Linked DNA regions of Arabidopsis thaliana. The protein of the gene in region 1 interacts with the protein of each later gene in a pairwise test. Each region holds a gene or a part of one and is shown on either strand. Other genes may lie near its edges.

Evidence for each region.
Region 2: the proteins of DREB2B (region 1) and URO interact in a two-hybrid assay, tested with the Arabidopsis thaliana proteins (one large-scale study listed by BioGRID).

What each region holds. Positions count from the first base shown.
Region 1 is NC_003074.8:3,453,424-3,457,854, reverse strand, and holds DREB2B (DRE/CRT-binding protein 2B), read right to left. Parts: upstream 2,501-4,431; 5' UTR 2,302-2,500; intron 1,876-2,301; 5' UTR 1,847-1,875; coding exon 854-1,846; 3' UTR 556-853; downstream 1-555. Other genes in the region: TBL32 (TRICHOME BIREFRINGENCE-LIKE 32), read left to right, coding at 213-555; RLP34 (receptor like protein 34), read left to right, coding at 3,994-4,431. UniProt on the Arabidopsis thaliana protein: Transcriptional activator that binds specifically to the DNA sequence 5'-[AG]CCGAC-3'. Binding to the C-repeat/DRE element mediates high salinity- and dehydration-inducible transcription.
Region 2 is NC_003074.8:8,248,771-8,252,271, forward strand, and holds URO (C2H2 and C2HC zinc fingers superfamily protein), read left to right. Parts: upstream 1-1,748; 5' UTR 1,749-1,808; coding exon 1,809-2,327; 3' UTR 2,328-2,713; downstream 2,714-3,501. Other genes in the region: AT3G23145 (ATP binding / aminoacyl-tRNA ligase/ nucleotide binding protein), read left to right, coding at 3,368-3,430.

The DNA.
Region 1 (4,431 bases):
ATTCAAAACCAGGAACCAAAAAGAGAGGAGATATATGGCTTAGAACAATGTAGTCCGGATTTGGTATTGAATGAAATGAGTAATGGAGTTTAGATTGATCCGGTTTATCTTTAATAGTTTAAGTAAATGTGGCTTATAACATGATCCGCAATTAGAAACCACACTAAGATTTAGCATACAAAGGTTTCATATTTGTCTACCTCCATGATCAGGGGCGAGGATTGGGGAGGCGAACAAGGAAAAAATTGTTACAATCAAACGACACCGATCCAAGACATGAACCATTGGCCATCAGACTGCAGCAAAACCTTAATGAAAGTGATAGGAGAGGAATTAGACCAAAGAGCAGAGTTTCCGGTGACGGTACTTAACATTACACAACTCTCTGGCTATCGGAAAGACGCGCACACGTCAATCTACAAGAAGCAATGGAGCCCATTGACGAAGGAGCAGCTAGCAAATCCGGCTAGCTACTCAGACTGTATACATTGGTGCTTGCCTGGTCTTCAAGATACTTGGAACGAGCTTTTCTTTGCCAAGTTATTTTATCCATGATTCTTTTCTCTAAATTCAAGATTTTTTTAGAACTGTAATTGTAAATTATGGTTATAATTTTTGTTAATTACGTACACTTATTGTTCTACAAAGAGAAGAAAGAGAGAAACTCTGCTATTCGCTATATTAACTCAATAGATGAGAAGCAACAGTTCATGATCCAAGGAAAGAACAAAAACTATAGAGTTATTAAATATTTTTTCATTGTGAATCAGATCATTAACACCTATTTCTTGTTTCTCCTATGATCAATCCAAAGATTATGTTGTAGTCTTGTAGGACCATTGCCTCAGAACTCTCAAATATCCAGAGAACTCAAACCATTGAACTCGTGACCATCGTGTGGCTCGAGATGAAGCGGATGCAAATCATAACTACCAGAATTTACGTGGTTTTGGTCTTGGCTCTGATGGGGACCAGGTTCATTCAAATCTCCAAGGAGTTCATTAATATCAAAGCACTCATTAGGATCCCAAGAAGTCTGATCATTTACAATATCATTAGACCAAGGCCAACCGTAATCTGCAACAGTAAGCAAATCCGGTTGCAGCTGTTGCTGTTGCTGTTCCTGTTGCTGTTGCTGTATCTCCTCTTCTTCCTGCTTCGGTTTCTCTTTCTCCTGCAAAACTTGGCCCCAATACTGCTGCTCAAACTCTAACAGCAAATCGTAATTCAGCGAAGAATTCATATCTTGATGTCCAACCGTGCAACTGTCCGGCCTGGTTCCACAAGACTCTTCTCTAACATCTAAAATCTGACTAAATGGATTAGATTCACAATCAGTATCTTCATGCTTCACACAAACATCACCACAAACAACCGCCTTATTTTCAACCGTACACACCTCAGATTGACTAGACGTACTAGTAAACTCAGACCCAACAGACTGAGGGAAGTTAAGACGAGCCAATGAACCGTACATAGCGGTAGCCGCTTCATCATAAGCGGAAGCAGCTTTTTCCGCGGTAGGAAAAGTACCAAGCCAAAGTCTAGTTCCTATTTTCGGTTCTCGAATCTCTGCAACCCATTTACCCCAAATCCTTTGTCTAACTCCTCTAAAACTACAGTGAGAATTATCTGGTCCTCCTTTACCCTTCATACAACCTTTCTTCGACCCTTTCGCAGGAACTTTGCGTTTCGGTTTCTCTCCTTCTTTAACAGCCGAAGCTTCAACAATCTCGTTGTACTCTTTCCACTTCTTTAGCCTATCAGCCACCGTTAAACCACCTGCTCGAGCCCTAGATTTCCTTTTCTTCGGCTGCTCGGTTCCGGTTTGTTCATATACAGCCATCTTCTTCTTTATAGTCGCAATCTAAGAATCTACAAGATAGGAAAAAAAAAGGTTTTGAATCAGTCTCTTCCTCTCAATTTCAGAAAACAGAAATTATCGAGTCACGGAATTTATAGTTATAAAGAGGAACAGAAACAACTTGGGCACCAAGGGTGTTTTACTTGCTCACCAAGTTTTACTTTATTAATAGAAAAGCAAAAATCGCATTAGAATTTCCAATTTTTTAACCCGAGTCTTAGATTAAAGAAACCGTGTAAAAAAAAATAAACGCTAAATTAGAAAATTTCCCAAATTTCTCTCAAAAACAGCGAAACCTAAAAGGATGACATTTTGAACAAATCAATGAACACGAAAACATCTAAAACCCAAAATTCATCAAACCCAAAACCCTCTTCGAGACTAATTCAGCGAAAAATCGACAAACCCAGAAAAGATTAATTGGAAATCAAACATACCTATCGTGAATGATAACTCCAGGATTAGAGTCGAATCTCTTCTTTATTTAGGCAAAAATCTCTTCTTTATCACGCAGATGTTGTTTGTTGTTCGTGTTAAGTCGATCAAAAGCAAATCTTCTTCGCAAGCTTTCGCGTTCTTTCTAGCGTCTCTTTTTTCTTTTCTTTTTGTAAAGACAACAAACTTTTTACAGAAATCAGATATTATCAAGAGGTCGAAAGGGTATTTATAACTTTGTCTAGATATTTCTGATATTTTAATGAGAGTAGTAGTGACATGGCACTTATTAATTCGAATTGTGGATCATAACATTCCCCAGTGACGACACGTGTTGAAATTTTCACCACACAAAAACACGCTCTCAATACGGGTAAGCAATGGGAATCCTTACTATAGTTGATAAACACATACAGAAACATATTTAATACAATATGTACATGTTAAGACTCAAGAATCACAAAACCATACTAATATTTTAAGAAATAAATATTTAAATAATGAAACTTAATTATTAAGAAAGTCTCATTTTAAAGATTATAGTCAATATTTGAACAATAATCTGATATTTTGAGGAAAACAAATTAACAGTATGTTATGAATAATTTATAACCAAAAAAGTAGATTTATAATCTATAATATTTATTTTCTAGTATGGCAGTATATTAAATTGAATAATATACATCCAAAATTCCAAAAAATAAGTAATCAAACAAACACAAAGCAACATCACAACCATGATTATCACCATCACCCACAAACTTTTCTTCTGAATTCATTTCATTCTAAGAGAGAATATACGAAGCACATCAAACAGTGTTTTATCCTGAAAGCATAAAATCAGAGAAACACACAAATAATTAACGAGATTCTAGTTCAGTTATAGGTTTTTTGAACTCCAAAGCTCGCATTAATTAATTTACAATTAGTCTCTTCTACTAAGTACAATAACTCTAAGTCTCTAACAGTAATCATCAAACACAAAGCAAATGTCCACGCATTATCAATGAGACAAAATCAAACTCGTCATCACGGTCTTCAATTATCGGTCGGCCTAAACCCCCATAATTTGGAAATCGAAGCTCGCGAATTTGCTAAGGTTTCATGCGGACTACAGAACGTTACATGTTGACGACGGTATGAAGAGAAATTGCGGCGAGACACAACCGATCTTACGTTATCTGTTCTTTCTTTTCAAAAAGGGGAATACTTATACTCTTCTGAGTTCGGTGGAATGTGATCAAATGGGCCTGCGTTTTATTTTTATCCTCCTATGTTGTTGGGCCTTAGCCCGAGTTTGTTTTTCAGACTGATGCACAAAATTGATAATATCCATCTCTGAACTAATAATATCAGACTTATAGACATAGTAACAAGTCGTCCAATTTGGTTGGGAAAACAACTTTTCGAAGTTTCCTGTACGTAATTAAAGTAAAGACAAAATGTGTGGAAATGGACTATTCAACATGAAGACTCTTTTAAGTCTTTTCGTTTCAACGTGAAGAACACTTGGTAGAAAGACTGGTTATATAATGTGAGTCAAGCTGTGTTGGATTTATCTTTGTGGAGTAGAATCTATTACTATGTCTATAAAGAGATGGGCACGAAACCATCTTATTTACTACCACAAACTCCACTTTCTTTTATCAATATTCAAGAAAATTCGACTAGCTAGCTAGCGTAAATTAAGGAGGATGAAAGGCTCTTGGGTGGTCTCAACGAGTATCATTCGTATTACTCTTTCTTTTACTTTCTTATTCATTTGTCATTTTTCGGACGTGCTTGCGGCTCCTACTAGGCACTTGTGTCGTCCCGAACAAAAGGATGCACTTCTCAAGTTCAAAAACGAGTTTGAGATTGGGAAGCCTTCTCCTACTTGTAAGATGGTTGGCATTGAATCTCATCGGAAGACGGAGTCATGGGGGAATAACAGCGACTGTTGTAATTGGGAGGGAGTCACGTGCAATGCCAAGTCCGGGGAAGTGATCGAGCTCAACCTTAGCTGCAGCTCCCTCCATGGCCGGTTTCATTCCAACAGCAGTATTCGAAACCTTCATTTCCTAACCACTCTAGACCGTTCACATAATGATTTTGAAGGTCAAATCACGTCTTCAATTGAAAATCTGTCTCAT
Region 2 (3,501 bases), 4.8 Mb from region 1:
AAATTCTTTTACATCACTTTTAACTAATGCAAATATTTATAATAAATGATGTAAAACAACCTTTTTTTTGTAGTGTCTCCAACACTACATAGAGCATTTCTATATATGCATACACTATTCTTTCAGTTTATTACTATTAATGTTGTATATCACCCGCAAGTCCAAACACACATATAAATATTGAAACTGTTGGTGGATATTTTTTCCGTATGATTCTTTTATCAAGCTTAATTATATAGACCTTACCTTGACCGAGTTTGTTTCTTATCCACATGCCAATTTAGAATATTTGTTCGTGCGGGTTTTATGAAACAAATGTTATTGATGAAAGAAATAAATGTAGCTTTAGGAGGCTAAAGTCTACGATGAGCTGTAGTCCCAAAGTTCTTTTTCGTCTGTTATAAATTCACTAGTGAATATTCTTAAGTCAGTAGGATTCTCACATGTTCTCGAAATCCTATAAAACATTAATGCTCCTGATCAGCTTATAGAAAACGAATGACAATAGTTCTTTATCTAAATCCATAAAACATAATGGTATACTTGTTTTACTATATATTATCTGCATGATCTCACTAAAAAGAGACTACGCCAAAAGGAAGTCAGCCTACATAATAACAAATCTATTCAACTTCCATAATATCATTTTTCTTGAGGCTATAATTATTTTCCATTGCATATATAGAGAGTTTTGATCCATCGTGATTCGTTAAACGTTCTATTATATCCTAAAAAACGATATGGCAATAGCTAAAACCGAACTTATAAAACGCGGTTTCAATCGGTCCATAGAAGTTAAAGGGTACCGGTGTGAACGAAGTAAGTTTATGGAGGTGAATATTATTTTGTCGGTTCTGAAATTGAATACAGTAAAATATTAATTTTAGCAATCCTAAGAGTAGCAGGCGATCGCTCATCGATCGTATTTTTTTCTAAGTTTTATTTTGTTTTTGTTAAAGCATATTTTTCTAAGTATAGAAACCATCGAAATCAATTTCAGTTTTGGGGAGAACTCATAATAAATTTCATAAATGCTATTTAATTAATGAGAGCAATTTGTATATTCTTAATTGTTTTACCTACTTTAAGCACAACCACAAGTCCACAACTCCTTAGTGAATGCTTCTTTTAAAAAATTTGGTTTTATTATTTTGTAGGTATTACATGTTCACATTCAAAATATATTTCACACTATATTAGATTAAATTTAACTAAGCTTTAATATTTCACTAGCTCCTACTAGCCTTCCAATTTTTACAATTTTACTTTGCAATTTTTACTCTCGATCCAAACAAATAAGTACTTTTTTGTACTATATTCAAAGATGAACAACTTTATATTTTTCTTGAACAAAAATGAAATTGAATAGAGAGAAACTAGCTACCCTAACTAGTCACTCGAAACCTTATAAATAACACCTTCTGTAGTTTGTTTTCCTATGAAGAATATTTTTCAACTTTATCTATTATATTATCCTTTGTTAAACTTTCCCTGAAAATTGTTAGAAAATAAACTAATTAAAATAATTCTAAGCATGACGTTTTTGTAGTTATTAATTCATGTTACATTAGACGCACGAATTTAATTATAATACACACCCCCGTAATTAAGTACATTAAAGACCCTAAAGTATATATATTAACCATTGATAAAACAATTTAGCCCTAATTAGTGTCCGTTCACACACATAATCTTTCCTTTAGCTTATATATACGCTGGTGTGTGTTTTTAAGAAGCTTCATACACTCATTTTCAAAACATTGAATACTGAGACTTGAGAGAGATCCCAACAGAAGAAGAAGAGAGAGATGAACCACCGGGACAAACAAATTGATTCCGGCTCTGGCTCTGGAGAAAACCGCCGGACTTATGACTGCGACATCTGCAAGAGAGGTTTCACGAATCCTCAAGCCCTCGGTGGTCACAATAACATCCACCGCAGGGAACGCGAAAGATACCCCTCCTCCTCTTCTTCTTCTCACTCATTTCCATTTTCTCTTCCGTTACCATCTCAGTCTCCCTCCTCCTCCACAAACTTCACAAACCCTCCTCCTTATTTTCCGACCATTGAGTCATACCTACACCAAGGGTCTCAGCCACCTATTAACCCTAGCCACAACACACAATACTTTGGATCATCATCATCATCAAGAGGAGGAGGGAGATTTGCTCAAGGGGCGTCTCATGATCTTAATTTGAGCTTAGGGCTCGGATCCATGAATGAAGATGATGACACTCACCGGAGCCCACCAGAGACCGGAGGTTCTCAACCTCAAGATGGTGATCTTGATCTTGATCTTCGACTCGGCGGTCATCGTCATCATTAAGCTTGCAGCGGTTTCCCTCACGTTCGATCCACGTAACCATATACAATATATATATATAGTTGAAAGTTAATCACCGTATAGTGCATGATGTTTATTGTGGTGTTTATATATGTTTTCAATATATATGTAGTATGATCAAAATATGTTGGACTTGGAGTCATGTTTTTATCATGATCGTATGAAGTTTGGGTTTGTATAATTCAAGACTATATTTTTCACTTAAAAATTATAGATCAAATAGGTTAATTTGAGTAATGTTTTTGTTATACCTTTTTCAAAAAGAAAAAAAAATGTTCTTGTTGTCTGAAGTTGGGTTTGTATAGTACAGGATTATTGTTCTTTTCCATAACTATATATTAGTGTAGATCTATAGATCAAGTAGTTTTGCGTAATATGTTCTAATAATTAGTTACGTTGTATGAAATTTGGGTTTGTATAATCAAAGACTATCTATCATTCTCTTGTATAATATTTTACATGAATTTACATTTCAAGTGGGTTTGTATGAATTTACATTATAAAGTAAGTTTAAACTTATATTATGAATGAATTCGAACTGCAATGGGATAAACATTATATGCGTTTTAATAATAGGTTGGTGAAGTTTATAATTTACACCATTTGAAAAGCCTTCCAAATTTAGAAACTACATTTTTGCAGACCCATGTGAGCTCATATGAATCAATCATAGCCTTGATGTTGTAAAACAAATTATGATTATAAAAATGTGATAGTATATTACATGCATAAAAAATAAAGGAGAGTAAATGAAAGTCAAATCTGGGTTTTATGAACTGAAAGTTGAAGTTTAGAAGTAGAAGTAGCGATCAAAGTATGACCAGTTAAAAGGCCCAATATCATTTGGAGGTTTGATTTTTGGGTTCGTAAATTTCAAGAGCCAGATTATGATTTGCTGGGCTTAAAAATCATGGAAAAATTGAAATGACGGTGTTAAAATATATAACTCAAATTAAAGATTTTAATTGGGTGTAGTAGGCTGATTTTTTTATAAGAATCTTGTCTATAGATGCTTCAAGGTTATGCCTTATAGTACTGGTTGTAAAACACCACTATCTAATTTTGAAGCTGGTCAGAACTATAAGGTATGTTGTTGTTGGCCTTGTTGCTAATGAAGATTATAACATTCTGTTGTTGCATTTTTTTTTTTTTTTTT